Linked DNA regions of Sus scrofa. The protein of the gene in region 3 binds, or shares a complex with, the protein of the main gene of each other region. Links are inferred from orthologs where the notes say so. Each region holds a gene or a part of one and is shown on either strand. Other genes may lie near its edges. The genes, in order: STX7, BET1L and STX18.

Region 1 (10,136 bases), on a different chromosome or scaffold from region 3:
GACGGACTAAACCCAGTTTTAAACTGATGGGTGGAGTTCCCGTCATGGTGCAGAGGAAACAAATCCGACTTGGAACAAGGAGTTTGCAGGTTTGATCCCTGGCCTCACTCAGTGGGTTAAGGATCTGGCGTTGCCGTGAGCTGTGGTGTAGGTTGCAGATGTGGCTCAGATCCTATGTTGCTGTGGCTCTGGCGTAGGCCGGTGGCTACAGCTCCACTTCGACCCCTAGCCTGGGAACCTCCATATGCTACATGGGTGCGGTCCTAAAAAGCCTTAAAAATATATATATATAAAATGAAAAAAAAAAGATGGGCATATTTCTGACCTGTCTTCCACGGGATTTTAAATATTAACATTTCAGCTACTTTAAACTTTTTTTTTTTAGATTTTTATTTTTTCTATTATAGTTGACATAGCCACTTTGAACTTGATTACACACACACACACCTACAGAGAGACAGACACAACTAAAAAGTTGAAATTATGAGACAATTTAGCATAGTCAATATTACCTGATAATCTGCTGCCCTTGACAGCTGCTGGTTCGCCTGCTGAACGTGCACCTCTGAGCTTTCCACATTGGCTTCTATGCTATCTTTAAAATAAAACACACAACTGTTGAGCAGGTGCTGATGCTCCAGTAATAGAGCTGCACAAAGCACTAGATTTCATTTAAGGTAAGATTAAACACGTGCAGTCAAAGGTTACTATTATTAAGAATACGGGCAAAGTTGAATATTTTTCTTTTTAGGTATACTATTTTTCAGGTGATCCAAACAAAACATAAAAATTTGAAGGAAAAAATCCCAATCATCTTCATTACAACATACTCTAGTTCTATGTGGTTATTGCACAAAGTGCTGTCACAGAGTTGCATTCTGTGATGGCCAACTCAGGACCACGCAGGCATCTGAACTTTCATTTAGAGTAAATATAGAGAATCCAAACCCATCATTTGCTTGGTGGCCATCATCAACGTTCTCTGTGCTGAGATCTAGCTTCCCTGAGGAGCCCTGCAGCCTTCTCGAGGGGTGACGGTTTTCCTTTCCACCCTCCTCTGACCTGGGGGGCAAGAGGTGTCAATCCGCAGGATGGGTGACCACCGTATCCTCCTCCCTGCCAGCTTTCAGTTCTATAACTCATGCTGTCCCACTCAGCCAACCCTTCTTGCTGCAGACATCATAGAGCTCAACGTCTTTTCTTCTCACTTCCAGAATATTTCACCCCCTGAACCACTGATGTTTTCTTCACTGCTCCTCCTAGTACATGTTTGGCAATTTCAATATCCAATGGCTGACCTTCCTATTCCTTGGCCTCTCAGTTCCCTTATTTTTTTTTTTTTTTCCTGTCTTTTTAGGTCCGTACACGTGGCATATAGAGGTTCCCAGGCTAGGGATTGAATCAGAACTATAGCTGCCGGCCTGCGCCACAGCCACAGCAATGCCAGATCCGAGCCTCGTCTTCGACCTACACCACAGCTCACAGCAACGCCAGATCCTTGACCCACTGAGCGAGGCCAGGGGCTAAACCTGCATCCTCAAGGATACTAGTAGGATTCGTTACCACTGAACCACGAGGGGAACTCTCTCTCATTTTCTTGAGCACATGTTTTTCAAAGACTTTGCCTGTGACCCTTTCTCAGCCACCCACTTCCATGATCACATCCCAAACCCATCATTACCCATCACTGCAGCTTCTTCGTAATCTCCATTCAGGTCTCACTCTCCGAGCCCCACCTGCTATCTTCAGAGCTCTCTCCTTCTGAGACCCCGACTTGAGTGATCCCACCACTCTTCCCTACCTCTCACACACTTCATGTCCTCACTCCCCTTCTCTAGCTTAGACTCCATGGACAATCAGGTGTCACTGTTTTCTTGTATTTACCTTCATCCCCCTTGTCCCTACTTAATCACACTTATGTGACAAAACCCTAACCTGTCCCATGCAGCAGCTGAGCATTAAGTGCAAAAAGGGATCACCTGTGCTGACTTATTTCACATTAAATTCTGGACTGCAAAGCATGCCTGCCTCACTCTCCCAGTTCCTCAAAGACCAAGTCATCCTTTCTCCTCTGTCCTCTAACTTCTCCTGCCTCTTTGCGCACCATCATTCTCCACCAGGGACCCCGATTTCTGGATCGCTGAGACAGCAGGGACAATCAGAAGACATCTCCACATGCTCCCCCGACCCTTGCCAGGGCAACACGCCGCAACATCTGTACTCAGACTTCTGGTTCATGATTAGGGGGGATCCAGCCAAGCTCCAGCAAGAGCCGACCCCTCCCTGGGTGCCCTTTATCTCATTCTTGTCACTAACTCAAAGACCTTGCTCTATCATCCCCACTTTTTTCCCATCAATCTTCCTGCTGCCATCTTAAAACAAACCCAAAAGCCTCTCATTTATTCCACATCCACTGCAGCTATGACCGCACTTGATTCCCAGGAAGGATTGTGTACACTTGCCATCTCATCACCTCCTCGCAGTGCCTCCTAAACCTATTTTACCATGCTCTCTCCCACGCCATTTCACCAACACAGCTCTCCTCCGAGGTCCCCTAGGCCCTACATATTGTTAAACTCAACAGTCAACTCTTAATTCTCAGTTTACTTTATCTAGCAGCAGCATCTGAAACAGCTGACTAGCCATCGCTCTTGAAATGCTTTTTCTACTTCATTCCAAAACAATACACTCACTTGGTTTTCTTCTGCATCACCGACTAGTCTTTCTTAGTTATTTTTAATGGTTCCCCCTTGGCTCTCTGGGCTCTAAATCAGGAACCAACAAACCTTTTTTATGTGCCAGATACTAAATATTTTAAGCTTCTTGGTTCTTTCATATGATTTGTCATAAATATATAGTCAACTATGCCTCTGCTGCATGAAGCTGCTGAAGGTAACATGTGAAGAGAAGGATGTAGTGTGCTGACTGCTCTAAATATCTGTGAGTCCCCCTCCTCCTCCTCTCCTCTCTACCACACTTTCTTCCTAGGTGATCTCATCTAATCACACAGTTCTAAATACCATCTATGTGCAGATGACTCCCAGGTGTCACCCCCAAATCCTGTGTTCTCTACCAACGCCTGTCAAACCTTCACCTGGGTGACAACTGGCACCTCAAACCTTACTGTATCCAAAAATTACTGATTTATATCCACCTAAACCTGCTCCAGCTACAGATTTCCCCATCTTGAAAAATGGCACCACCATCGTGACCTGGGCCGAAACCTTAGAGTCACCTTGAATTAACTCTCTCTCACCCCTATCAGACAGTCAGTAGATCTTTTTGGCTCTACATCCAAAAAAAAAAAAAATATCCAGAATCCTGTTGCTTCTTACCACTTGACTGTTTCCATCCTGATCCAAGGCAACACAGCTGCTCACCTGGATTCCTGCAGGAACCTTTTAAGCGGTTTGTTTTTGGTTGTCCCTTTGCAGTCTGTTCTCGACCCAGCAAAGTGAGCCTCTTAAAGCCTATGTCAGATGACAGCCCTCCTCTGCTCGTACGCTCTCGTGGCTTCCCCTCTATTAGTAACAGCGACAGTCCTCATGATGCTCGGGGTCCTACAAGATGCTGTCCCCTGTGACTTCTGACATGGTCTCCATCTCCCCCTGCTCATTCCATTCACCTCAGGTGACAGGTATGCTTCTGCCCAGAGGCCTTTGTACCTGCTGTTTCCTCTGCCTGGCATACGTTCTCTTGCTTGCTCCCTTACCTCCGTGAATTCTTCACTATTATGTCACCTATCAGTGAGGCCTAATATGACTCCCCTATGAAAAGCAGCACATTCCCCACCACCCAGAGTCCCATCCCCCACCTGGCCTTATTTTCCTTGTAACACTTATCACCCTTTACTTACTTTTCTTTTTTTTAAAATTGTCTCTCACCTCCAACTAGATTTTAAGATTGTTTATATGTCGTTTAATTTTAACTGAATCCCCAGTGTCTAGAATTATGCCTGATATAGCAGGCATTCTATAAATACATACAATGATTTGGGAAATTTTACCCTGTGATCTACTGGGGATACAGAGGAGGGTAAGATTGGACTGATAATAATTACATTAAACTGTAGATACAAGTATTTTTAACTGAACCAAAATTCAGAAAATACATTAAATCTATCTTTAGCAATACCCTCTAATATTTTTGTATTTCAAAATAATAAAAATGATCAGAATCCTGATCAATGTTGACAACTACACCTTTAATGAATTATGATTACACTTAATAGAAGTCTTAGTCACTGATTTTTCTTTAAAAAATTCTCAGTATCTAAGTAATACTACTAAATTAATCTACCAAAAAAGCTATGAGGATAAAGGATCATGCAAACGGCCACCTATTCCTATTCCCTCTATTCTAAAAGACAGGTAGCAAAGACAATTATGAATAGAAGTTTCCCCTAAAGTCCTTGGTGTGATGAGAATTAAACTGGGATAAGGCAGAAACCAGAGGTCCTGGAAACAAGCTAGAATGCTGCTACATAGCACCTTCCATAAGCTCAGCAGCAGCAGACCCTAATTAAATTTGGGACTTCTTAAATAAATGCAGCTGGTCATTTCAACCAGTAGGAGCCAAAAACAAGATGTGTCTTAGATACTGCCAAGGATGATGTTTTGTCTGTTGGAGGACCGAAAGAGAGAGAGGAAGGAGTTACTCTGGCTTGAGAAGCTGCAGCAGGTAAACGGCATGGAGCTTGCTTCCACCTCACGAAATATAATGAGCAGAGCTTACCTATTACATCTCCTTGTTCATGAATCATCATCCCCAAGTCTTTAAATATTTCATTAATATCCATAATATCAGCCTAAGAGAAAAAAGTGTACTTTGTTATCAGAAATTCAGTCTCCAATCCACAAAAGGGGAACATTTTTTAAAAACCCAAGCCACCACTCATACCCAGGTGAGAATGCATCTAGACTTAATAACACACAGGAAACTATTTTACTATAAGCAATCCCAGGTAAGCAGACTTTGAATAACAGTAACTAGTTCTCTAAAATAAGATTGTGATGTTAAAAATATCAAGCCACATGGGACAGAAGTGAAGGATCTAGCTAATAGAGAAGGGCTGTGGGTTGCTGAATATATGTCAACTCAAAGAGACAGTTAACATAAAGAATTTATCACACAGTGCTTGGCACATGGAAGCCCTCAATAAATGGTAGGCTATTATTAGCCCATTTTCTAGGGAAAAAGTTCTCTAAGAACTATGGCTACTGAACCCTTTAGACCTCTTTGATATCCTGCACATACTAAAAAGAAATAAAATACTTTTAAAGCCCTTGGAAAAAGTCTTATTCATGCAGGTGTGACGTGTATCATATGGCACAGGAGCCATTCAGACCCTTTAAGCAAACATTTATCTCTAGATGATATTTTCTCAACGCTCAGGAGCCTTCAGATGACCTAACAGAATTAAAAAAGAAAAAAAAAAAAAGCTGGAGTGGAAGGAAATACATTATCTCATCCTAGGAGAAATTCTAAAGCATCACTAGTTTTTTAAAAAAAGAAATTATTCTAATTTATATAAAAAGTGCCACCAAAATGATGGATTTCTTTAGTTATCTTTTTTGATCTCACTCCTAGCATCATCTAAGCATTTTCAGGACAAACTCACTAAGAACAGAGCAGCAGTCCAACTTTATAAAGCTTACTTCAAGTTGCCTAATAGAAGACTCTCGCTCATGAATAAGGCGAAGGTCATCCTCTGTAATTTCTTCATCCTGCACTTGCACTTGAGGCTGAGTTTGGCTGTTAAAAAACAAAACAATAAGTAAAAAAGAAGAACCAGTTAAAACAATGGGGCTTTCTTCTTATTTAAGAAATACGTATTGAATTTTTTTCTTCAAAAACATAAAATTAGGAGTTCCTGTCATGGCACAAAAGAAACGAATCCGACTAGGAACCATGAGGTTGTGGATTCGATCCCTGGCCTTGCTCAGTGGGTTAAAGATCCGGCATTGCGGTGAACTGTGGTGTAGGTCGCAGACAAGGCTTGGATCTGGAGTTGCTATGGCTGTGGTGTAGGCCGGCAGCTGTAGCTCCGATTAGACCCCTAGCCTGGGAACCTCCATATGCCGTGGGTGCGGCACTAAAATGCAAAAATAAATAAATAAAAAACAAAATTACTCACTTAAATTCTAAAAATAGGATAAAAATGTTAACCAAATTTTATTCATCTGTCATTTCACTGATATTATTTTTCAGTTATTATTTAACTTTTTGGAAGCTATTATATTTGGCAGGTGAGTATTTCTCCTTGGTTGACTTAATCCTCACACATGGGAATAATCTATATTAAATAATAATTAAGTCAATGTTTATTTGGATAATTATTTTAAAAGTATTGCTACATTGGAAATTTTTATGTTTACATATTTTATAATAAATAATTATTCTGAAAAATTTTCAAATTTATTATTTATTTTTTATTCATAAATAACTTTGGATAGTCATGGCATAATATACTGAAAGCTTTAATTCTGCCCAGGAACCATGATGTAAGAAAATGTATTTCAAAAATTACCCTTTGATCTGCATGTTTTATACTTCTTACCTTTCCCAGGATACAAGATTTCTTTCTTTTGAGGTCTCCTCAGGAAAACCACCCTAAATAATATAATAACAAAATGGATTAAGAAGGTGCACAGGAAAAACACACACCACTCACATTTTATTTTATAATAATCTAAACTGATTTACATCTACAAGGGAGTTCTTGTTCTAATATTGTAGGTCAATTACTTTAGGTAATAACAAAATTATATCATAACCTGATAAGCAAAGAATTCATTAAATATTCTCAAGTGCTAAATAATAATTATTATTCGATTAAAATGTAAAGTAGTCTTGGAACCTCTATATTAAGGAACAATATACTCGTGATAGTTTCCAGGGGAGATATATAATTAGATTAAGTTAGAATTCCACTCTAACTTATCCTTTCATTTATTTTCTCCAGGTATATATTTTCAATAATTATATGTATATTCACTCTGTTCACGTCCATCATCTTCACATAACCTAGGAGGAAAGACTTCTCTACACCAGCATGAACACGAAGTAACAGCCTCATGTTCAAATTAGGATCAGACCCCTAATCTTTTCTGACAAAATGTTTATTTTTACATAATCTGTAATCTTTTGTTTGACACAGAATAACCAGAGTAATACACCATTATCATACTTCTTAAAAATTAAGCAGAAACACCTGAAATTAAATATTTCAATACTGATCTCTAAGACTTTCACAGGTCTTTATGACTCAAGAAACACCCATGTAGTCTCTTAAGATATTTTAGAGAATACTGTGTTCCTTTTTACAATGCCATTTTAAATACTTACAGAAACTCTGGAACTGGCTCTTACTCGAGCAACAAATTCTTTCTCTTTCTCAGCAGCTTGCCTCTGCACCTTCTGAAAGTTTGTCAGTGACGTTGTGAATTCAGCCACTAAGCGGTCTTTCTGTATTTTCCTTTGACGCTAGAGGAAAGGGGGATTTAAAAAAAAAAACAAAAAACAAAAAACACCTGATAGAATCAAGCTGTGAAATTCTACAGCATGTGCAAAAGTTGTTGGCTCTTTATTTAATTCTGAAAATTTAATTTTCAGACTAAACTTTCAAGACTAAACCAAGATGAAATAGAAAAGATGAATGGACCAATCACAAGAACTGAAATTGAAACTGTGATTAAAAAACTTCCAACAAACAAAAGTCCAGGACCAGATGGCTTCACAGGCAAATTCTATCAAACATTTAGAGAAGAGCTAACACCTATCCTTCTGAAACTATTTCAAAACATTGCAGAGGAAGGGATACTCCCAAACTCATTCTATGAGGCCACCATCATCCTGATACCAAAACCAGACAAAGATACCTCAAAAAAAGAAAACTACAGGCCTATTTCACTGATGAACATTGATGCAAAAATCCTCAACAAAATCCTAGCAAACCGCATCCAACAGTACATTAAAAAGATTATACATCATGATCAAGTGGGATTTATCCCAGGGATGCAAGGGTTCTTCAATATCCGCAAATCCATCAGTGTGATACACCACACTAACAAACCGAAGAATAAAAACCATATGATCCTCTCGATAGACACGGAAAAAGGCTTTGACAAAATCCAACACCCATTTCTGATAAAAACCCTTCAGAAAGTGGGCATAGCGGGAACCTACCTCAACATGATAAAGGCCATATATGACAAACCCATGGCAAACATCCTTCTCAACAGTGAAAAGCTGAAAGAATTCCCTCTGAGATCAGGAACAAGACAAGGATGTCCACTCTCGCCACTACTCTTCAACAAAGTTTTGGAAGTCCTAGCCAGAGCATCAGAGAAGTAAAAGAAATAAAAGGAATCCAAATTGGAAAGGAAGAAGTAAAACTATCACTATTTGCAGATGACATGATACTATACCTAGAGAATCCCAAAGACTCTACCAGAAAACTGTTAGAGCTCATCCACGAATCTGGCAAAGTCGCAGGATACAAAATTAATACACAGAAATCGATGGCATTTCTATACACTAACAATGAAAGAGCAGAAAAAGAAATTAGGGACACCATCTTGTTTACTATCACATCCAAAAGAATCAAATACCTAGGAGTAAACCTACCTAAAGGGACAAAAGACCTGTACTCTGAAAACTATAAGATACTGATGAAAGAAATCAAAGATGACACAAATAGATGGAAAGACATACCATGCTCTTGGAAGAGTTAATATTATCAAAATGACTATACTACCTAAGGCAATATACAGAGTCAATGCAATCCCTATCAAATTACCAAGGACATTTTTCAAAGAACTCGAAAAAAATATTTTAAAGTTTGGAAGCACAAAAGACCCAGAATAGCCAAAGACATCCCGAAACAGAAAAATGGAGTTGGAGGAATCAGGTTCCTGGACTTCAGACTATACTACAAAGCAACAATCATCAAAACTGTATGGTATTGGCACAAAGACAGACATATACATCAGTGGAAGAGGACAGAAAGCCCAGAATTAAACCCACGCACCTACAGTCAACTAATCTATGACAAAGGAGGCAAGAATATACAATGGAGAAAGGACAACTTGTTCAATAAGTGGTGCTGGGAAAACTGAACAGCCACATGGAAAAGAATGAAATTAGAACACTCCCTAACACCACACACAAAAATAAACTCAAAATGGATTAAAGACCTAGATATGAGACCAGACACCATAAAACTCTTAAACCATAGGCCAAACACTCTCTGACATAAACGACAGCAACATCTTCTCAGATCCACCTCTTAGAGTATTGACAAAAAAACCAAAAATAAACCAATGGGACCTACTCAAACTTCAAAGTTTCTGCACAGCAAAGGAAACCCTAAACAAAATGAAAAGACAACCCACAGAATGGGAGAAAATCTTTGCAAGTGAATCAACTGACAAGGGATTAGTCTCCAAAATTTATAAACAACTTCTGCAGCTCCATACCAAAAAAAACCAAACAACCCCATCAAAAAATGGGCAGAAGATCTAAACAGACAATTCTCCAAAGAAGACATAACAGATGGCCAAAAAACACATGAAAAGATGTTCATCATCACTCATTATTAGAGAAAAACAAATCAAAACCACTCTGAGGTACCACCTTACACCAGCCAGAATGGCCATCATCAAAAAGTTTGCAAACAATAAGAGCTGGGGAGAGTGTGGAGAAAAAGGAACCCTATTACACTGTTGGTGCGATTGTAAATTGCTGCAACCACAGTGGAAAACAGTATGGAGATTCCTCAGAAAACTAAAACTAGAACTACCATTTGATCCAGCAATCCCACTCCTGGGCAGCTAGCCAGAGAAAACCACGACTCGCAAAGACACATGTACTCCGATGTTCATTGCAGCATTATTTACAATAGCCAAAACGTGGAAACAACCTAAATGTCTATCAACAGAGGAGTGGATCAAGAAGATGTGGTACATATGCACAATGGAATATTACTCAGCCATTAAAAAGAACGAAATACCGGCATTTTTAGCAACATGGATGGACCTAGAAACTATCATGCTAAGTGAAGTCAGCCATACAATGAGACACCAACATCAAATGCTTTCACTGACATGTGGAATTTGAAAAAAGGATAGACTGAA
Region 2 (10,718 bases), on a different chromosome or scaffold from region 3:
AGGTTGGGGAGCCCGGGTAGGGCCGGTGAGGGGGGCCAGACTGCTGGCCGGCCTCCTGGAGGTGGAAAGCCCAGGGACGAAGCCAGTGGAGATTCTGGGCACAGGACTCTGCCCAGCCTGAGTCTCCACGCTCGTGCCCCCGACAGGCCCCGCTGCCTACATGCTGCCCATGGTGATGGGGCCCCACACTGTCGGCAAGGTCTCCCAGCCCTCCTTCTCCATCAAGGGCCGCAGCAAGCTGGGCAGCTTCAGCGATGACCTGCACAAGGCAAGGGTCGCCCAGCTGGGGCAGAGCATGGCTAACCCCCCCGCCCCCGAGAGATGGCCCATCTGGCCCCTTCCCCCAGAACCTCGGACCCACCAGCCAGACCCCCATCCTCCTGAAGGCCAGCAGCTCTTCATCCCCTGGGAGCCACATGTCTGGCCCCACCCTACCCCCACCGGGTTACATTCCAGCCGTGGGGAGGGGCAGACAAGGGACCAAGAGGCCGCGGCTCAGGCATAGAGATGGCCAGTGCTGAGGAGCGAAGAGCAGGGAAGGGGTTCTGGGCACTGCTTAAAGGGCAAAGAGCAGTCTTAGGTAGGGCTGCATTCAGGAAGAAGCTGAGGAGAAAAAGAAGCTGTGGCATGTTTCGGGGAGGAAGGTTCTTGCTGCAGAAACAGCCATTGTAAATGCCCTGAGGTGCCCAGGACCTGGAGAGACTGGTAAGCTGGAATCATAGCACTGCTGAGCTCACCCAGCCCAGCCCATGGCCCTTGAGTCCCACAGGACAGGGTTCCCAGCTGGGAAAAGGACAAGCCTGGAGCTGGCACAGACCGGGGCGTCACTGCCACGGTGAGGCTGAAGGGAGGGTGACGTCTCACACAGAGAAGGGGTCCTACAGCCCTGGGGTGCTGTTCCACAGTATGGCCATCATTTGGAGATAGAAGAGGCCCCTGACACACAGACACACAGTGCTTGGCGCCTGAAAGCCACGGTCTGATGCTGGCTCCTGCCCTCTGTGTTCCCACGCCCTGGCAGGCCAAGCCTATCTGAGCCTCTTTCACCTCCCAGACCCCAGGTCCTGCAGCCTACCGTCAGACCGATGTCCAGGTGACTAAATTCAAGGCTCCACAGTACACCATGGCTGCGCGGGTGGAGCCCCCAGGCGACAAGACCCTCAAGCCAGGACCAGGAGCCCACAGCCCTGAAAAGGTCTGGCAAGAGCACGGCCGAGTGGGGTAGGGGTGACATGGCCCAGAGGGGGTGGTGTGGGGAAGGGCCTGTGAGCAGGCAAGGGTCGTGGTGTCCAGGCACCCTCAGAACACTGTGCATTCTAGCTGCAGCCCTTTCCTCAGCTGGCAGGGCCCCCTGTCCCCAGTGTCCGCCAAGACTAGTGCTGCTGAGGGCTCACCACATACCAAGCCCTGTGGTCAAGCCTGGCAGTGTGGACTTCCTGCTGGTCACTTTGGTCCAGGGCTTAGGAGGTACTGCCCCAGTGAGGGCAGAGCCTGCAGGGGGACGGGGGTGTCAGGTCCTCACAGCCTCTCCTCTCCCAGGTGACCGTGACCAAGCCCTGCGCCCCCATCGTCACCTTTGGCATCAAACATTCTGACTACATGACACCCCTGGTCGTGGATGTGGAATAGTCCCGGCCCCGCTCCACCAGTCACCCTGAGCCTCTGCATGTCATGTTCCCCCAACAGCAGATTCCCGGGGCTGAGGGCTCTGGGTGCCTCCTCCACCAGCTGGGCTGCAGCTGGCCTGGCCCTGCAGGGCAGAGCACACTTGTTTGGACAGTTGTGACCAGTTATTTTTTCTATGCTACCTTCCCTTTTGCTAAACTTGTTTCCTGCTGAGCCTGGATATGTAATAAAATCTGATTCCATTAGTAATGGGTGTCTCTTGGGGGATCACCAAGATTTTCCAGAAAGGGGCCCCCATAGGCTACCACCGACCCGTGTCCGGCCCCTCCTAGCTTCCAGGGCCTGGGTTCTGACAAGAGTGGAGGGCTCAGGAGCCTCAGACACTGCCCTTAGGATTCTGCCTTGAGCCCTGCCCTCTACGTGGCTCTATCTGTCCCCTCCCATGTGATGTCCAGTGTGGCTCTCTCTCCCCTGCTGAGAGTCCCTCCCCTGGAATCTAGAACAGCGTCTGGGACCATCCCAAATGGAGATGCAACGTGACTCGTGAGGCCAGGCCATGCGACACACACAGAGCTCCCACCTGGGTACCCCCTTCTCTTTGCTCACCTTCACACCAGGAACCATGTCGTGAGGAAGCTGAACACATGATAAGACAGTGAACATGGCTGGGCCCCCAGCTCACCCCAGCGGTGACCTGCAGATCTGTCACTGAGCCTTCACGTGATGGCAGCACCAGCCTCTCACCTCTGAGAGGAAGCCTTAACATCATAAAGCAGAGACAACTGTCCCCACTGAGCCTGTCTCAAACTCCAGCAGCGACCATGAGACATAAATCACTGCTGCAGGGGTTCCTGCCATGCCTCAACGGTTAACAAACCCGACTAGCATCCAAGAGGATGCAAGTTCCATCTCTGGCCTCGCTCCGTGGATTAAGGATCCGGCGTTGCCATGGGCTGTGGTGTAGGTTGCAGACGCGGCTTGGACCTGGCGTTGCTGTGGCGTAGGCCCACAGCTGTAGCCGATTCAACCCTGAGCCTGGGAACTTCCAATGTACCACAGGTGTGGCCCCAAAAAGACAAACCAAAAAAAATTTTACTTCCGCAATTTCAAGTGACTAAATCTGAAAGTGACATTATACATCAGATGCTACGTGAAGCACAGGAGGCTATGGACAAGGAAGGGGTGACGAGCTGGGATGAAGGGCATTTCCAGAGGATGCTCGGGAGTCCGAGGCCAGCTCTCAACGGACTCCAACCTTCAAACCAGCGCTAGGCAGGTGGCCCTGTGGCCCCTGTGGGACTTTAGTCACGAAAAGGCAGTGACGCCACCTTCCCCAACTTAGTCACAGAAACCTGGGGAGAAAAAGGTCCAGCAGCAGGACGTAGTGAGTCCACGCCTGCCCCCCCGCCCCCCGCCCCAGGGGACGAGTAAGGACGGGAGCAGGGCCCGAGAGAAGGGGAAAGAAGCCACGTGGAGACCACCGTGCCCAGGGCAAGGCTGTGGACCAAGGTCAGTTCCAGACAAAACTCTCGGAGGCCCTGAAGGAAATGCAAACACCAAAGACTATGTGTTTACTTAATCGAGAATCTGTTTATTCCAAGTTTTTATGACCAAATGCCTTGTCCTTGACTTGGGGCCCTCCCTTGGCACAGAGGACTCCAAGGCCTCTTCTGTTTTAGTCTGAAGGGCCACTTAGCAAACCCCACTTATCCACAGGAGGAGGTGCTGAGTGCACAGGGCTGAGCAGAAGGGTGCAGGCCCCACAGAAAACCCTGCCGACGTGGTGGCAGCAGCATTCAGGAACTCAGCCTAATGCAACAAAAAAGTAAACCAGACAGAGACAAAAACCCAGACCCCAAAATAGCTGGAAGAGCTGCCAAGAGCCATGGAAATGAAGTGGGGAGGCAGAGGTGGGGACCCAAGGAGAGAACACAGCAACCAGAGGTCTCGGAGGGGGCAGAGCACTTCTTGAGACAGTCATTCTGAAAGGCAAATCCTCAATTCCTGGTCTGCACTGGCAAGACGAGTGGGCACAGCAGGTAAGAGCATCCTGGGGGGAGCAACAGCCATGGCTGAGCCATATTCTCAGGAAGCCAGGTTAGCAGGCCCAGAACAGGCGGCTGCCACACTCAGGTCTGATGTGTCTGCCGTGCCTGTGGTGACCCGATGGAAACACGACACGGCAGCAGCTGCTGAGCTTCATGAACAGTAGGCACGTCCCTGTGACAAATTTCAACATGAGATGAGCTGACGGCTGAGTCGAAGCCATGGAGGCAAGGAAGCGGACCTCACCGAGTGAGAAACAAGCACACACTGGAGGGATGGAGGCAGTAAGAACAGAGCACTCGGAAATGAGAAGGTAGCACGCTCCCCTTCCAGAAGGCTGAGGCCCAACCAGGCGCAGTGGAAAAGAGAAGGGCATTATGGTGAGTGTGAGACAAGCCAGGCCTGCTCGGTGGAGAACAAAGGAGAGAGAGAGGAGGAGCAGGAGCAGCAGGGCCAGAAGGTGAGGTGCCCAGGGCCAGAGACCAGAGCAGGGTGGGGTGGCAGGAGTTGAGAGGCACAGGCTGTGGCTGACATATGACCACATGTGTATGTGTGAAGATGGCCGGTGAGCCGGTAGCCCTCAGAGAGTGAAGGGGAGTGACCAGGAAGACAGAGAACTGGAACAAAAGACGGGAAGGACAGAGCTGATGACTCGTTTCTTACAGGTGTTTTCATGGGAAGACACTGAGATCTCACAGTGGGGTAGAAAGACCCATTGGTTTGGAAGAAACTGCAGTTCACCTTGTGTGAGCAGGAGACTGACCAGTGGGCACTGAGGGCCCAAGGAGAGATGGGCAGATACTGTAGGTGGAAGGGCCAGACTCGGTGGAAACTGTCCGCGGACCCTCAAAAAGCGACCTACAGATCCTATGAAAAGCTGTTACCTGGAAGCCTCCAGGCTGTACCCACAGAGGCCCCTGCTCACACCCTGCCTGACTCTGACATGCCAGATGAGCCTCTTTCTAGAGATCTGGGCTCCTGGAAACGTGTCTCGGTGCTGGACAGACCCTGAATCCTGAGAAAAGGTCAGTTTCTGCTCCTGGACACAGGGAGACCAGGAGGACCTGGGCCCGCGTCTTCAGCCAATGCTGCAGTTCACTTCTCCACGCATGGCCACTGCCCTTCCCTGAGGGTCGGGCTCCAGCCATGGGGTTGGACGGCAGGCAGACACCTCTCGGCAGGACCCTTGACTCTTGCTGGTCCACCAGTGCCCGGCAGCCCTGGCCAGGAGCAACGGCCATCTCTGGTTTGAGGACCCTTGGCTGAAAGTGACAGCAATGATTCGAGGTTCACAGTCGCACCCCTTCCTGTGTCGGCTCTGGGCACCTCGAATACCAGACGTGGCCTTATCCAGACCAAGACCAAGCAGAGAAGCCTCAATACATCAGAACCCTGAGGGCTGGGGGAAGGGCTGCTGGTCACAGGTGGTCACGTCCAGGATTCCCAGCTGCTCTGCTCCAACCTGGCTCTGCTAGGGCTTCTAGCACCCAAGATGGCAGAGGAAGCTGGGCCTTGGTTACCCAATGGGGATGGGCCCCTTGCACACATGGGACCAGCTAACATGAGCTTACTGGGTCAGAGGCTCCCAGCCACACAGGAAAAAGATTCCTAAGCCATGCTCATCACTTCGAAGGGGTATTTTGTAGGTAGATCTTCTGGAGCCCAGGACACAAGGCAGAGGAAGACCCTGGTTGTCCCAGGTACCTACAGAAACCAGTTCCCACTGGCTCACGTCCTTGCCCTTGACAGGAGGTAGGAGAGGATGAAGAAGACCACGATCAGGCCCATGGCCACACCACAGAGAAGCTTCCGGTTGTCTCGCCCAGATCTCGCCATTGTGGAAAAGCGCTTCACACTCCCCGTGAGGAGGCCCGTCACACTCGTGAAATCCGAGTCCTAAGGGAGGAATCCTAGCATTGTCACACGGGGCAGCAACTCCACAGCACACACACGCGGGGGGGGGGGGGGGGGTGCCTGCAGGGCAGGTAACGTGGGGCCGAGAACACCGCAGACCCTTACCATGCCGTCCAGGTACCGGTTCTGGTCCTCCACATCCCTATCAATGTCCAAGGCCAGCTGCTCAGGACACAGAGGGGACAGGGTCAGGCCAGGACAAAAATAACGGACTGTTCCTAACCCCCCACGGCATCAGCAGAGGTCAGGAGATCCAAATGTCACCTGGGCCAGCACAGGTGAGTGCTGCCATGTACGGGACAAAGAGAGAACTATCTGGACCCCTTCCAGGCCTCCACCCTCCCTCTGACGCCCTCCTCCAGAAGGCCAGATGGAGGTGAAAGGAGAGGACCACCACTGACCGACTTGAGCCTGGTGACCTTGGAGGCCAAGGTGTCCGCCATCCGCTTGTTCTCCCGGTCTAGAATCTCCTCCACAGCGCCGGGGCTCTGAGCTGTGAGAAGAGACAGAGAGGGGGTGAGAGTGTGCACCCACCCACGCGCACCCTCTTGACCTCTGCCCTCAGGGCTCTCACTCCAATTCCATCTAGTCCAGGGGGACTGGGCTTTCCTGTGTCTGCTGAACAGGTCCTGCCCTAACCCAGGGTCCAAAGCGTGAACTTCACACACGAGACAGCCGCGTGAAGGACAGCGTGCGAGAGCACTTGTTCTGTGTAGGCATCCAAGCCCGGATGGGTGGGCAGCACCTTCTGATACTCTGTGACAAAACCTGTACCATCCCCTCTGGATGGACTGGTATGTCAGCCCAGATGTCACCAGCGACGTAGAGGGGACCTGTTCTCAGAGAAAACCAGTAAACTCTGGCAAGGACTTAGGAAAAAGTCATGAACAGAAGGGGAGGTCGATCTCACGAGCAGGGCATAGATCTGCTCAGCTCTGCATCCTACACAGAGCCTTACACAACACCCAGAGCAGTGGTTGCTGAGACCTGGCCCAGGACAGGGGCTGGGACTTATGACTTGACTTGGTATAACCATCCTATCAAGTAGATGAGAACTGCCTCCCCAAGTTCACAGGCCAGATTTGCCGTGGGCCAGATGTCTCAGGGAGGCTCATCTAATAGGATCACAACCCTAGAAATCATGGATGTGTAAAGATGCCACGAGATGTTAGCATCCTACCAACCGCTTTCATCCATTAAATCTGTAAATGCCGCAAGCCCAGCGGAAACAAGCATCAGCATCCCACTTCGCAGATAAGAACAGGGGTTCCCAGAGGGCAAGTGGGCCACTCCCAGCCCCAGTCGGTACGAGGCCTTCTTGGGCCATCACGCGCAGCCCTCACTCCTTGGGGCTGGCCTCCGGAACAGTCGACCAGCCCGTCTGGCTGAGGTCCCGTGCAGAACAGTCTCACGAGGGCGGAAGGGGTGGGGACAGCGGACATCCGGACCCCGCAGCTTCACCGAGAAGCCGGGCAAGACCGCCCGAGGGCCCCACCCACGCCGCCCTGGCTCCGCCTGTTCTCAGTGTCTGCCGGCCAAAGCCACCCAGAGAGGCGGGGGCGGGCGAAAGCGACTCCTGCAGGCAGCGGCATCGGTTCCAGCACCGCCGCCACCTGCCTCCGCTCCCCAATGCTCACCCCGAGCCCAGTCCGCCATCGCGCCCAGCACGGACCCGCAGAGCTACAGCCTCCCGGGATGTGGCGCAGCCGTCGGGGAGGGACTTCCCGTCCCGCCCCTTCCGCCCGGGGCCCTCCAACTTCCGGCCGAGCGGGCGAGCGGGCTGGACGGAGAAGAACTGACGTTTCCTCCACCGCCTGCCTTGTGAACAGGGCCGCTGGTTCGCTCCTGGGACTGCTGGAAGGTTATCGTTTTTAATAGCATCATGGTGCCGACAGACAATTCCGCGGCCATTCCTGCCGAAGGCGGTGTCAAATCCTAACTGGAAAGAGCTCACGGCCCTTTCTCAGGCGAGAGAGGCTCCTCGCGGCGACACGGCCCGGGGTCCGAGGCCCGCCCGGCTGCGGTGCGGTTAAGGCGAGGACTCGGTGTGAAGCACGCTCCAGATGCTGCCGGCGGGATAAAGAGGGGATCAGTGCCTGGAACAAGCGAGCGCTGCAAAAATCTCAGGGATGAAGCACTTGAAGGAAAACGGGAAATCAGGAAGAAGAGTGGGAGCGTGAGGGGAGTTAGGGGCAGGAGGAGCCGGTGCTGCGACCTTGCACCCGGGCACTGACAAGGGGTCTGGCACAAAATAGATGCTCAACAAAGGCTTGTTGCGCAGTGGGTGGAGTATATGTTATTCACCCACTGTAATGGAGCATTCACTCTGTGTCGTTTAGTGCTGACAACCCACCGAAATGGGACCTTTTATCATCTCTGCTTTTCAAAAGAGGGAACTGGGTCCAGGCCAGAAGATGTGTCTGCTTACACAGCCAGGAAGTCCCTGCACATGATCAGGCTTTGCCTTCATCCTGACCTGGACCTTCCCTCCCCACTCTCCCCTGTCTCTCAGCCCCAACAATGATCTCTTTCTCCTACAACGGCCATTCCCACCTTTACTCTGCCGGCTCCTTCGGCCTTGAATGAACTTCCCCCACATCCCTTCCTGGCTCACTTCTTCCTCTGGTCTCAGCAAAAGCGACACTTATTCAAATCCCCTTGGAGCCCATCAGGCCCCTTTTTCAATCACAGCACTATGACTGCTTAAAGTCTTCCCGTTTTCCCGTTTTTGTTTTCACCTCTGCAATATAAGCTCCACGAAGGCAAGGACCTGTGGGTTCTGTTCACCCACATCCTGGTTCCTTGCATGCTGTAGGCCCTCAAACGCCTGCTTAATAAACAAAGTGGTCCCGGGGCTGCAAAGTCCTTTCCACTTCGTCTTTCCTCGGAACATCTCATTCGTTCTGTACATCAAGAGGGGTGTAGTGTGCGTGTAATAGCGGGGTGAGAAGCTAAGGCCCTCTCCCGTAGGGAATTCACTGCTCGGAGCCGGAGCGATTCAGGCCCGTGGTCGGATAACCACTGAGTCGGACACTGAAAGGCAACGTGACTAGACATCAAAGCCTTTAAATTCCCGAGGGCTCTTCTAGGCCTCTCCACTTTAAGGCGCGCGCAGCCCGGGCCCCCGCCCCGCGCGGCGCCGCGCGCAGCCCGGGCCCCCGCCCCGCGCGGCGCCGCGCGCAGCCCGGGCCCCCGCCCCGCGCGGCGCCGCGCGCAGCCCGGGCCCCCGCCCCGCGCGGCGCCGCGCGCAGCCCGGGCCCCCGCCCCGCGCGGCGCCGCGCGCAGCCCGGGCCCCCGCCCGCGCGGCGCCGCGCACGCCCCTTCCCGGCCTCCCCCGCGCGCCGAGCTAGGGCCGGGCGGGCCGTCTGGGGCCCAGAGCCTTGGAGCGAGGTACCTTCCGCTTCCTCGGGCCGGGGTCCCGGGAGCGCCATGGAGCCTCGGGCGGTAGTGGATGCTATAGAGACGGGGGAGGAGGACGTGGTTATGGAGGCTCTGCGCGCCTACAACCGGGAGGTGAGCGGGAGCTATGGACGTGGGACGCGCAGGGAGGAGGTGGGGCTGGGTGGGTCCCGCGCGCGTGGCCGGCGGGGAGGGTGTGAGTGGTGAGCGTGGCGGAAGGCTGAGGGTGTTGGCGAGCACGGCGGGGAGGGGCACCGAGTCTTTGAAGAGTTGCTGGGGGTGCCGTGGGGAAAGGGAGCCCTGTCTATTGAGAGCGGTGTCTGCGGCCTTGGAGCTCGGATTCTGCTTCGGTGGACCTGTGCCTCCTAATCTTCTGGGTCTGTTTGCAGAACTCCCAGAGCTTCACGTTTGACGATGCCCAACAGGAGGACAGGAAGGTGGGTGCTTATCAAGGGTAAAGGGGCAGGGACGGGTGGCCCAGGTAGAGGAGCCTGATGGAACCGCTCTATTCCCCTGCCCACAGAGACTGGCGGAGCTGCTGGTCTCAGTCCTGGAGCAGGGCTTGTCACCTTCCCGCCGAGTCATCTGGCTGCAGAGCATCCGCATCCTGTCGAGGGACCGCAGCTGCCTGGACTCGTTCACCAGCCGCCAGAGCCTGCAAGCGCTTGCCTGCTATGCTGGCATCTCTGCTTCGAAGGGGTCGTGTCCTGAGACTCTGGACATGGATGTTGTGCTCGAGTCCCTTAAGTGCCTGTGCAACCTCGTGCTGAGCAGCTCCGTGGCACAGGTGCTCGCCGCAGAGGCGGGGCTAGTGGTGAGGCTCGCAGAGCGAGTGAGACTGTACCGCCAGAGCAGCTTCCCGCATGACGTCCAGTTCTTTGACTTGCGCCTCCTCTTCTTGCTAACGGCGCTTCGCACTGATGTGCGCAGGCAGCTGTTTGAGGAGCTGCAGGGAGTGCACCTGCTGACCGAGGCACTGGAGCTGACGCTGGGAATGACCCCTGGAGAGGGACCCCCGGAACTCCTTCCTTCCCAGGAGACCGAACGGGCCATGGAGATCCTCAAAGTGCTTTTCAACATCACCTTCGACTCCATCAAGAGGGAGGTGGATGAGGTGAGGGCTGGCCTCAGCCTTCGGTTGGGCTTAACAACTAGGATGCTTCCGGGACCTGCCTCTCTGCCAGGTACCCTCAAGTTTCTGGGTGTCGGACCAGGAGGACATCTGCACAGCAGCGCTTGTCAGGAGGAGGCAGGGAGGTGCCCGTTCCGTATAAGGGCATCGAGGAATCAGAGCGCGTATCTGGCTCTTGCAACACCAGGAGTGCTGTGTGGTGTGGGGGCAGGCTGTAGGAGATTCTTCGGGGGGCGGGGGGCGAGAGCACAGAGTGACTTCATCCCAAAGGGACCTGTTGATGTCCCTAACCACGAGAGTGCTCTTAAGGTCACATAAGTGAGGCTGAGCAGCCAGGTGTGGTGGAGGAGATGCATGGCCTGCATGAGGTCTGGCCGTGGGCCAGGCAGTAGATGTTCAGCAGGCAGCAGTGGGGGTGAGTGGCACTTTCTCTCACAGGCACCCCTTTCTCTTTGGTCAGGAAGACACTGCACTTTACCGGCACCTGGGGACCCTGCTGCGGCACTGTGTGATGGTCACTGCTGCTGGAGACCGCACAGAGGAGTTCCACGGGTGAGGGTGGTGCCTGTTGGGCACACCGGGGCGGGCGTCTGCTCTCAGG
Region 3 (10,136 bases):
TGAGACAAAGTTGAGTGCTTTTTTTTTTTTTTTTGAAGTGATAAAAACAGATCTGATTATACACAGAATGTCTACTGAAGTCCTCGGGGAAATTATAAATTAACTGGTTGAAGGCAATTTGAAAAAAGCAGTTTTTAAAAAGTCATCAGAAAGATCAGTTTATGCTCACTAATTTACTTAAGTTGATTTCTATGACTGAAAGCTGAGCATCTCATAGCTGCACTCAAAACAATTTCCACCTGGCCAACATCTGTTTCCAGGCCCCTTATTTGAAAAACTTTGGGATTTTATTTAAGGTTGAAAAAAAACGGAAGGAGACAGGAAAGAAGGAGAGAAACAGATTTTCCGGATTTGAATTCTTATGGAAGAACTGCGAACCTTAAATAAAGCCCTATACAAATATTAGGGAAAAGTGATCAATAGTCCAGAGCCAAGCACAGCTTTCACACTGTTTTCATGCCTCCAACAAAGGCTCTGGGTAGAAAGGAGATATTTCTGACACTTAATTTTGTAGCACTATCATTTCGAAGGTGGCTTTCAGACCAAGGTATCCACTCTGGCTCAGACACCCTGTACAGGAACTATCTCAGACTACCACAAGCCATCGTTGCATGGACAGATGTGTCCTGGGCAGCCACTCTGTACTGGGTAATTTTCAGGCCACTGCTACTGAAAGTGTGGTCCACAGACCAGTATGAGATTACGAGCTGTTTGTTACTTATCGGCAATGAATTAAGCACAAAAAAAGAACAAGCATTTAGAAACACAGCAATGTGACACTGCCACCGAGTCAGGGGACTCACCGCTCTGGACAGCGCATGGACATCAGGGCCTGAGGGACTGCAGAAGACAAACAACAAAACGCAGTCCTTCACCTCGGAGAGCCCCGTCTAAGCCAGGGCCAACGTGAGCCAAATAAACATTGTAGGCTTTGTTTAAAAAAAAAAAAAAAAAGAAAAAAAAATATGGTCTCTGTCGTATTCATCTTCTTTTCCTCTAGTTTCTTGTTTTACAAACATTTAAAAAGAGAAAAACTGGAGTTACCGTCATGGCACAATGGAACCATGAGGTTGAGGGTTCAACCCCTGGCCTCACTCAGGGTGCTAAGGATCTGGCGTTGCCATGAGCTGTGGTGTAGGTCGCAGACGCAGCTTGGATCCTGTGTTGCTGTGGCTGTGGTGTAGGCCAGCAGCTGTAGCTCTGATTGGACCCCTAGCTTGGGAACCTCCATATGCTGCAGGTGCAGCCCTAAAAAGCAAAAAATAGAAAAAAAATAAATTAAAAAAATTAAAAAAAAATACAGAAACCATCTTCACTCAAGGGCTGTACAAAACAAGCCAAGGACTAGATCTGGCCCATAGAGAACAGTTTGCTGAACCCATTCCGGGGGTCAATGAGGCAAAATCACAGGTAGGAGAGATACGGAGAGGTTGGCAAAAGGGTACAAGCGTTCAGTTACGAGAGAAACAAAGTCCGAGGACCTCGTGTACGACATATGCCTATAGCTCGTAACCCCGTGTGGCCTAAGAGAAGTTCACTGAGAGAGAACCTAAATGTTCCCAACTAGATAAACACGGGGCGGAATGTTTAGCTCCATGGGCAGGAATCCTTTCACAATGCATACACATAGCAAGTCACTAAAAGGCCCCATTTCAATATTTTTAATTTTATAGGATTGTACTTCAATAAAACTGAAATTTTTTAGAAAGGACAAAGTCACTGCTATGGGCCTAGCGTCACGCCACTCACTTCCTGTTTTCTTCATCTTTATTGTCATTATCAAGCCCAGCACTGGCAAAGGGACAGAGTCCTACGGGTATGTGCAGGACACAGGGTAGGAGCTGTGGATCTAAAGAGCAAAAGACAAAATCCTGTAGTTCCATTGTGGCTCAGCGGTAGCAACCCCAACTCGTATCCACGGGGATGTGGGCTCGATCCCTGGCCTCGCTCAGTGGGTTAAGGATCCAGCGTTGCTGTGAGCTGTGGTGTAGATCGCAGATGCGGCTCAGATCCTCCGTGGCTGTGGCTGTGGTGTAGGCCGGCAGCTACAGCTCCAATTCCTAGCCTGGGAACCTCCATAGGCCGCGGGTGCAGTCCTAAAAAGCAAACAAAAAAAGACAAACTTCTTCCCCCAGCAAGCTTTAATCAAGTTAGAATGAGAGGACTGAATCAGAAGAAATAGGATGAGTCCGTTCTTTAGGTGTCAAATTAGTACGGTGAGAGCCTGTGTTGTAAAAATCACTTTTTTTCTTTTCCTTTTTTTAAAGGAGGAAAGGTGGAATGCAACAAAATTTTTGTTTTCTGTAACCAAGCAAAGGGAGCAACTAATAAATACCTCAGGGTCACACACCTGGCCATGGGACCAGGCACTATTTCTCCACTGGGTCTGCCCGGTGTGTCAAGAGCGAAGGGCTCCGTGGTGAGCGGGGCTCTCTCGAAGGAAGATGCCGTCGAGGCAGAGGGTCAGAGGAAGACTCCGAGAACTCCGTACACTGAGGGTTTCCCACACCTGTCTGGCTACGGAATCGGTTTACCAAGTAACACTTATCATATTTAGGTCTCAGGATTTCCTCAGACTATCTCAGGAAATTCTCACATTATCCTGCAGGACTAACACTGGGATGTGATAATATTCTGATGATGAACTTCAGGCTACAGTGAGAAACCCAGAAGGTACAGGGAACTTGTCCAGTCCTCCTAAGCGCTGCTCCACAACCTACGCAGTTAGAAGGAACGACGCCTCGCGGACGCAGTCAGGTTTCTCCTTCTCAAATCTCGCTGGAGGCAGGAAGAGCCTCAGAGCGTCCCACTCCGAGACCCTCCCTGTAGGAGGGGAAGCGAGATCTCAAATGACAGCCCGACCCAGGGCGCTGTGAAGACAGCCTGGGTGGAGCCAGGGCCAGATGGCCCCCCAGTGGGTAGGAGGGAAACAGCAGTTGGAAGACAAAGGCCTACTTGCTAAGTCTGGATCTGTTCCTGGACTTGCGTACCGTTTGCTGTGCCTCCACAGAGATAATGCTTGAAGCTAGTGGCAAAGAACATCAGAGGCTAGTTTTAATTTCCAGACTGCCACGTGAAAGCTCTCCCCAGGAAAAAGAGAGGCAATGACACACAAGGCGATTACTTTCTGGAAAGGAGAAATGTTTCTGATGGTTTCAATTAGACTATATACCCAGGAGGGCATCTCTTGGCTATTTCAACTTAAATCATAAGCAAAATATTAGTGCTTTAGGGAGATGAGGGCGGTAATGAGATGACCGGTCACTGTGCCAATGGTGCGTCTACACTGCCCACGACCCTTTCAGTTTATAAGCTCTCATTATGTAGACCTGAGGAGCCACGAATGCAGGACTGCGTTCCTTTCCTTCCTTCATTCAAGAACCATTAGTTGAGCACCTACTTTGAGCCAGGTTCCGATCAAGGCCCTGGGAGCAGAGAGATAAAAGACACAACGGTCCCTGTCTTCAACAGACTCTCGGTCTCATAGCAGGAGGAAGGACAGAGACGAGACCCCAACAAAAGTGACCACCATCCCGAGCTCAAGGCAACTAACAGCAGGTGCCACTGTCGACTCAGATAGTACAGCGCCTAGAGGATGGGTGAAAAGAGTCACATTTAGCAACAGTCCCGTCCTTCTATGAAAACAGTCATGGAGGGAAAAATCCAGAAGAATCCGTTGAGACGACTTCTGCCTTAACGGGCAAGACCTTCTCAGCTAGTTTGGAATAAGAACCCTTTGGCAGGAGAGGTTGGTGTGATATCGCCATTCCATGAAGATGAATGCAGCCGAGAATACCTTTCCTCTTAGGACTGTCAAACATTTAAAATAAAAACAATCAGCCTGCCCCTTTGTTAACACATATGCTTTTCTTTTACCAAGAACAAAACAAGTAGCAACAATGCCATAAAAGGTGAGACCTTGGGTTTCTCAATTTTTTTTTTTTTTTTTTTTTTTTGTCTTTTGCCATTTCTTGGGCCGCTTCCACGGCATATGGAGGTTCCCAGGCTAGGGGTCGAATCGGAGCTGTAGCCGCCGGCCTACACCACAGCCACAGCAACGCGGGATCCGAGCCACGTCTGCAACCTACACCACAGCTCACGGCAACGCCGGATCCTTAACCCACTGAGCAAGGCCAGGGATCCAACCCGCAACCTCATGGTTCTTAGTCGCATTCGTTAACCACTGAGCCATGACGGGAACTCCCTCAAGTCTATTTTATAAGAATGATTTTTAACAATAACCATTACCAATCAAAACAAAGAACCCACCAGTCTAACACGACAGTGAAAAAATTTAGAGCCAAATAACTTGTCATTCACTCCTTCATGCACACATGCATCCCACAGTCCTCCCTGAGCAGCTTCTGCAGGCTGGAGCAGGTATTGTGCTGCACAGAGGGCTGAGGGGCGTACTAGCAGCCAGCTTCTAAGCGTAGAAGTGCCACACCTGCTCATGACAATGCACAAGGAGCCACAGACAGGAACCACGAACACTCCTGCAGAAACTGGGAAAGTCCTTAAAGAGCAGGTGGCATCTTAACTGGGGCTGGAAGCATAAAGAGGAGTTTGCCACGTGAACGGGCGAGAGGGGGCGGAGAATCTAAGTATACATGTGAAGACATTCTGAACAGAGAAACCGGCAAGGATTAAGGCCTAAGAACTTCAGAGAACAAGGCCTCTTCAGAACACAAAGTAGTCAGGTATGGCCGGACCGTAAATCCACAGAGACCAACTACGAAACAAACAGCTATGGGTCCAGAGTGTCCGCTATGAAGCTTGGCCTCGGTAAGACACTGGAGCAAGGGAGAGATAAAATGATACGTGTGTCTTAGGTGGGTGCCTTCCGGGGCAAGGACGCCGAAGAACTAGAAGGGAGGCTGGACTGCCCTGGACTAGAAGGGCCTTACGTCCCTCAAGGCCCTTCGCTAAGGTACTTGGCACAGGGCAGCTATCTGACAGGAGACGAGGCTGAACCTCACTGCCTGAAGGAGAACGATTCCCATCAGACTGATCGCAATTCGTCCAAACCTCTGCTGAGCACCAGGCCCTGAGAAGGCAGCAGAAAGGCCCTTCTTGCTTTACTCGAGGCCCCTGTTCAGTCTCCAGGGCCAGGGTCCAGCCGGGATAAGGCAGCTGCCTCTGGAGAGCGTGAGATCCAGCGACCACCCAGCCTCTTGATGGTGAAGCCCACAGCACAGAGCCTCCGCTTTCTTGGGCCAAGGCTCTGCCTGCACTCCTGCCCGAGCCTGGGTGCTGCTTCCTCTCTAGTCACTTACCTGGATTACTTTCTTTCAACAGCCAGCACAAAGCCCACTGTCTGAGAAGCCTGTCCTGGTTAACCACATTCAACTCTCAGTTCAGCCGTGGAGGCAGGCAAGTGACCTAAATTCCCTGAGCCTCTATAAAATGGGATACTGATAAGTCTCTTTTTCTCTTTCAGCCGAGCGGGACGATATGCTGAGCCCCAGAGGCACCCCCCTAGGCTGAGCGTGGTGTTGGGGAGCCGGCCACAGTAAGAATGAAGCAAACCTGGCCTAAAGGAGCGTGTAATGTCACCCTCTGAAAGAACACCCCGAAATCTTGCCAAAGCTAGCAGAGCCGTGAGCAAGAGCTGGAGCCGGGCCCTAGCACCCGTCTTCCTTCGGGAACCCAGTTGCAGGCTGGCTGAGCTGCCGCAAGGGAGGCTTCTCAGAGGACCCTGTCCTGTGCTCTAGACACCGGCGCTCAGGAAATGCAGAGGATGGCTCTGCTACTGCCTGGCCGTGTGGCCTGGTGCCAGTCATTTAACCTGCGGCAGCTCTGGTGTCCTCGCCTGCAAAGCGGGTTTGTGACAGCGCCCACACTAAACAGGCGTGGGGCTCCACAGGCATCGCAAGGGAGCTGTGTGTGCCCATGACCCAAGGCCTCCCTGCGCTCCAGCTCGTCCCTCAGGGGCGGTGAGGAGGGGTGTGGGGGTCAGAGGGTCCGCGGTGAGACCGTTAAACCCGTGCCAGGCGCACAAGGTTATTTAATTGGACGGGATGAGTGAGAGCATGAATTCTGGACCAAAGGCGTGGGCTCAGATCCCAATTCTGCCGCCTCCTGGCTGTGGGCCTTGGCGAGCTGCCCGAGGTCCCGCCTGAGGGTCGAGGGAGACAACCGTCCTGCCTCGTGGGCTACCGGGAGCTGGGCCGTGCCTCGCAGGGGCCCGGCACACACGGAGGGGGCTCCTCGAGCACCGGCCCCGGCCTTTCACGAGCAAGTCCAAGCGGGGCAGGCTGTAAAGCCTCGGGCTCTAGAAACTTTCGTTGCTGTATTATGGCCACTGTCATGAATGAGGCGCATCCGCAGAGGCGATACTTACAGTCTTTTCTTGTCCACCACTCGCTTAACTCGGATGGCTCTCTGTTCGGAGTAGAGCTTACAGACTCCTGTCCAGGGGAAAACACCAGACCAGACACCATTAGAAACTGCTGCTCAGGCAAAGGAATCATTAAACCCAGTGAGACCCAACACCTAAAGCTATCGCCAGCAAAGCTAATGCTGGGCCCCCTCTAGTGTGAAACGCTACATCTGACCTTTAAGGTAAAACGAAATACTTAAAAGAGAGAGAGAGGGAAATGGAGATACTTTTTAAGTAATCTTCGATGAAGTCCAGAACGGCACTCCTGTGCTCCTTCACTTGCTGGGAAGGCACCTCCTTGTGGGCTGCAACGGAAGGAGAGTGTTCAGGGCTTCGTACCAGTCACCCTGCAGAACAATCATCAGCGGCCTCACAGCCGTTTCTTTATGAGACGTAGTCTTAAAAATACAGCTACAAAACTAGTCTTGCGTCAAATGACATTGCATTAAGATTTATTAGGCTTTGCAGGAGTAAAAGATTAAATCTGCAGGAAAACCACAGTCGAGGAATTCGGGGTGGATGACAGCACGGCGGGACCGTATCTGAGGCGGCCCGCTCCCTAGGTGCCGACCCCGTTTCTGCTGACAGCCTCCGAGGCTCAGGCTGACCTTCGAATCAAACTCAAAGCACAGCCGCCCTGCCTGCCTGTCTGGGCTCTCTTTCAGTTTGGAACCTTCTGGCCTCTCCTCTCAGCCACTCATTCCCTTAGACATCGAGTCAAACCTCCTTCTCCAGAAAACCTTGACTCCCGAGCTGTGAGGACGCCTTTTTGGGGTTGTTGTTGTTGTCTTTTTAGGGCCAAACCTATGGCATATGGAGGTTCCCAGGCTAGGCATCGAATCAGAGCTGTAGCTGCCGGTCTCCACCACAGCCACAGCAATGCCAGATCTGAGCCATGTCTGCGACCGACACCACAGCTCTCGGCAATGCCGGACCTTAACCCACTGAGCAGGGCCAGGGCTGGAACCTGAGTCCCTGAATGCTAGTGGATACCAGTCTGGTTCGTTGCCACTGAGCCACGGCGGGAACTCCAGGGACGCCTTTCTTCTGTGAACCATCACCTCTTCCTAGAACCCGAGCTGGTTATTGGTAGGACAGCTCACATTTACGAGACTGAAACCCACCGTGTGCAGGCTGCTGGTACTTTACAGAAATTATTGCTAGTGATCCAAATAATCCAAAAGGCAATTATGATTATGCCTGTTTTACTCACAGAGATGCTAAGGTTCAGAGTCAACAAGTGGCCCAAGGTCACAGGGTTTGGTACTGAATTCCTCGTTGGATTAAATGTTCATGTATTTACTAGGTCATCTCAATGAATGTCTTTAAGGGCAAAGAGCACGATTTTTTTTAAAAGAATTATAGTTGATTTACAAAGTTGTGCCAATTTCTGCTGTGCAGCAAAGGGACTCCATCATACACGTATATACATTCTTTTTATTAAAAAAATATGGAACACTTCAGTAACTTGCATGTCACCCTTGGGCAGAGGCCGTGCCAGTCGTCTCTGTGTCGTTCCAATTTTAGCATATGTGCTGCCAAATGGAGCACTGACTCACTTTCACCACAGGGCTGCTGAACCCGAGATGCAGGGGAGGAATTCAGCAGACCTATGAAATTATACACAGAATTGTGTGTGTATGTACATTCTTCGGGCAGGAGCTTTCATCAGACTCTTCAGGTGGTCCATCAGGGTCCTAATGGAAGCTTCCCAAACAGACATCTGTGTCAAGCACAGCAGCATCTGGCCACCTGAACTCAATGCTATGTTAACACAATCTGTGTCTGTCTGAGCACATTAAAAAAGAAGCCAGGAGTTCTCGTCGTGGCGCAGTGGTTAACGAATCCGACTAGGAACCATGAGGTTGTGGGTTCGGTCCCTGCCCTTGCTCAGTGGGTTAACGATCTGGCGTTGCTGTGAGCTGTGGTGTAGGTTGCAGACGCGGCTCGGATCCTGCATTGCTGTGGCTCTGGCGTAGGCCGGTGGCTACAGCTCCGATTCGACCCCAGCCTGGGAACCTCCATATGCTGCGGGAGCGGCCCAAAGAAATAGCAAAAAGACAAAAAAAAAAAAGAAGCCAGATGTGGCTCGGATTCCGAGTTGCTGTGGCTACGGCCAGCAGCTGTAGCTCCAATTCGACCCCTAGCCTGGGAACTTCCACATGCCACAAGAGCGGCCCTAAAAAACAAAACAAAACAAAACAAAGAAGCGGCAGCAAGGAAGATGCATAACTATCTCAGTGCCTTAACAAGAATTACACAGCAGGGCAAGTGAAGGGATGAGAATAACCCTCATCCTAGCCGTGGTTCTAGGGTCCTGGGAATGCAGTTCTCATAACAACCCTCTGAGATAACCACAGCACTGGCTCCATTTCAGAGACGAAGAGACTGAGACTCAGGGGTGGTTAAGTGACTTGCCAAGGCCATGTGGTCAGAGAGGGTGGAGCCAGGCTGGGCACACAAGTGGTTGACTCGCCAACTGTGACACTCAAAGCAGAGAGCACCTTCCTGCGTCCTCCTCATGCACCTTCAACCGCTGACCCCGTCGGGGCACCCAGGGCGCAGGCAGGCCTGCCCACGCTTCCACCCCATCCACCCTCTCCGCCCCTGGCCCCTTGGGAAACTTTTGGTTCTGTCAGGAGAGGTCCTTGCTATTTAACTCGAATCACGGCCTCTTCACTACTTTTAACAGCTCAGGTTACAACACCAGTCAGGGAGAGAAGACTTCCGCGGTTCTGAAACCCAGCTCTCTAAGGACACCGAGGAGCTTCCCGGCTGTGCCGTATGCATCCCGTGGGTGCTTCATGGAGTTGGGGCTGTGCCTGCGTCTCGGGGCACTGACCTTGGGCTCGCAGCTGCTGGATGGCCTCTGAGCAGGTCCTCATGAACGTCTGAGCATCCTGGTCTATCTGGTCTCGCTCCGTGTCCGTCATTCGCCCGTATTCAGACATGGTGTGGCTACAGCGAGAGAGAGGGGGCAAAAGCGAAAGGCAGTGGCAATGACCGCACGTGGAGCCAGGCGGGGGGCGGGGTGAGGGAAGAACCAACCTGTCTGCTGAAGGGACCGTTACGTGGGGACTTGAGGAGGAGGAGGAACTGGCGGGCTAGGAGGGGGGCGAACACTCTAGACAGTGGGACCACCGCCTACGAAGGCCGCCAGGTAGAACACACTGCCTGCAGACCACACTGGGGCAGGCCAGGCCGCAGGGACCGAGGCGGGCGTGGAGAGGAGGCAGGGCCCGAGCACACAGGCCTTGTGAAGGGTGTGGGCTCTGACTTTGAGGACAACGGGGTCCCCCAGCACACCGACTGAAGCCCGGGCGGGCTGCACAGAGGATGCTGGTCCATCCAGGCTGCCACCTGCCCACGTTGACAAGCAGTCCTCAAAACCCACAATGCAAGAGCTTTTAGACCCAGGTCATCTCCCCTGATACGAAGTTAAAAACTCAAGTCACTGGACCAGTAAGGGTGTTCACTATCAGTAACGCTGCACCCGAAGCTCCAGGTGTGGCAGTTTTATCACCTCGCTCATCTTTGTAAGATGCGGGCTGGTGCGGCAGCGTTACCATTAACAGTGCTCAGACACTCTGGATGCTCGGGCTGGAATGAAGAACCACAAAACACCGAGGTAAAAGCAACCGGAGATAATCATTCCATCTTCCCTGCCAGCCCCACTAGCCACCCAATCTCATTCCGACTGAGAATAAAACACAAAGTCCTGGAGTTCCCGTTGGGGCTCAGCAGTAACAAGCCC

What was found.
Region 1: STX18 (region 3) and STX7 share a complex: the UniProt entries of both Homo sapiens proteins name them as parts of the SNARE complex. The link is inferred for Sus scrofa from reciprocal best matches to the Homo sapiens genes STX18 and STX7.
Region 2: STX18 (region 3) and BET1L share a complex: the UniProt entries of both Homo sapiens proteins name them as parts of the SNARE complex. The link is inferred for Sus scrofa from reciprocal best matches to the Homo sapiens genes STX18 and BET1L.

The regions. Positions count from the first base shown.
Region 1 is NC_010443.5:31,222,970-31,233,105, reverse strand, and holds part of STX7 (syntaxin-7), read right to left. Parts: intron 7,486-10,136; coding exon 7,348-7,485; intron 6,613-7,347; coding exon 6,560-6,612; intron 5,755-6,559; coding exon 5,658-5,754; intron 4,808-5,657; coding exon 4,735-4,807; intron 596-4,734; coding exon 513-595; intron 1-512. UniProt on the Homo sapiens protein: May be involved in protein trafficking from the plasma membrane to the early endosome (EE) as well as in homotypic fusion of endocytic organelles. Mediates the endocytic trafficking from early endosomes to late endosomes and lysosomes.
Region 2 is NC_010444.4:23,279-33,996, forward strand, and holds BET1L (BET1-like protein), read right to left. Parts: upstream 7,184-10,718; 5' UTR 6,829-7,183; coding exon 6,771-6,828; intron 6,080-6,770; coding exon 5,988-6,079; intron 5,749-5,987; coding exon 5,692-5,748; intron 5,569-5,691; coding exon 5,401-5,568; 3' UTR 5,381-5,400; exon of another isoform or gene 3,847-5,380; 3' UTR 3,197-3,846; downstream 1-3,196. Other genes in the region: ODF3 (outer dense fiber protein 3), read left to right, coding at 147-268, 1,055-1,195, 1,540-1,629; RIC8A (synembryn-A), read left to right, coding at 9,016-9,099, 9,375-9,422, 9,509-10,099, 10,578-10,669. UniProt on the Homo sapiens protein: Vesicle SNARE required for targeting and fusion of retrograde transport vesicles with the Golgi complex. Required for the integrity of the Golgi complex.
Region 3 is NC_010450.4:5,968,919-5,979,054, reverse strand, and holds part of STX18 (syntaxin-18), read right to left. Parts: intron 9,341-10,136; coding exon 9,225-9,340; intron 6,688-9,224; coding exon 6,610-6,687; intron 6,411-6,609; coding exon 6,344-6,410; intron 1-6,343. UniProt on the Homo sapiens protein: Syntaxin that may be involved in targeting and fusion of Golgi-derived retrograde transport vesicles with the ER.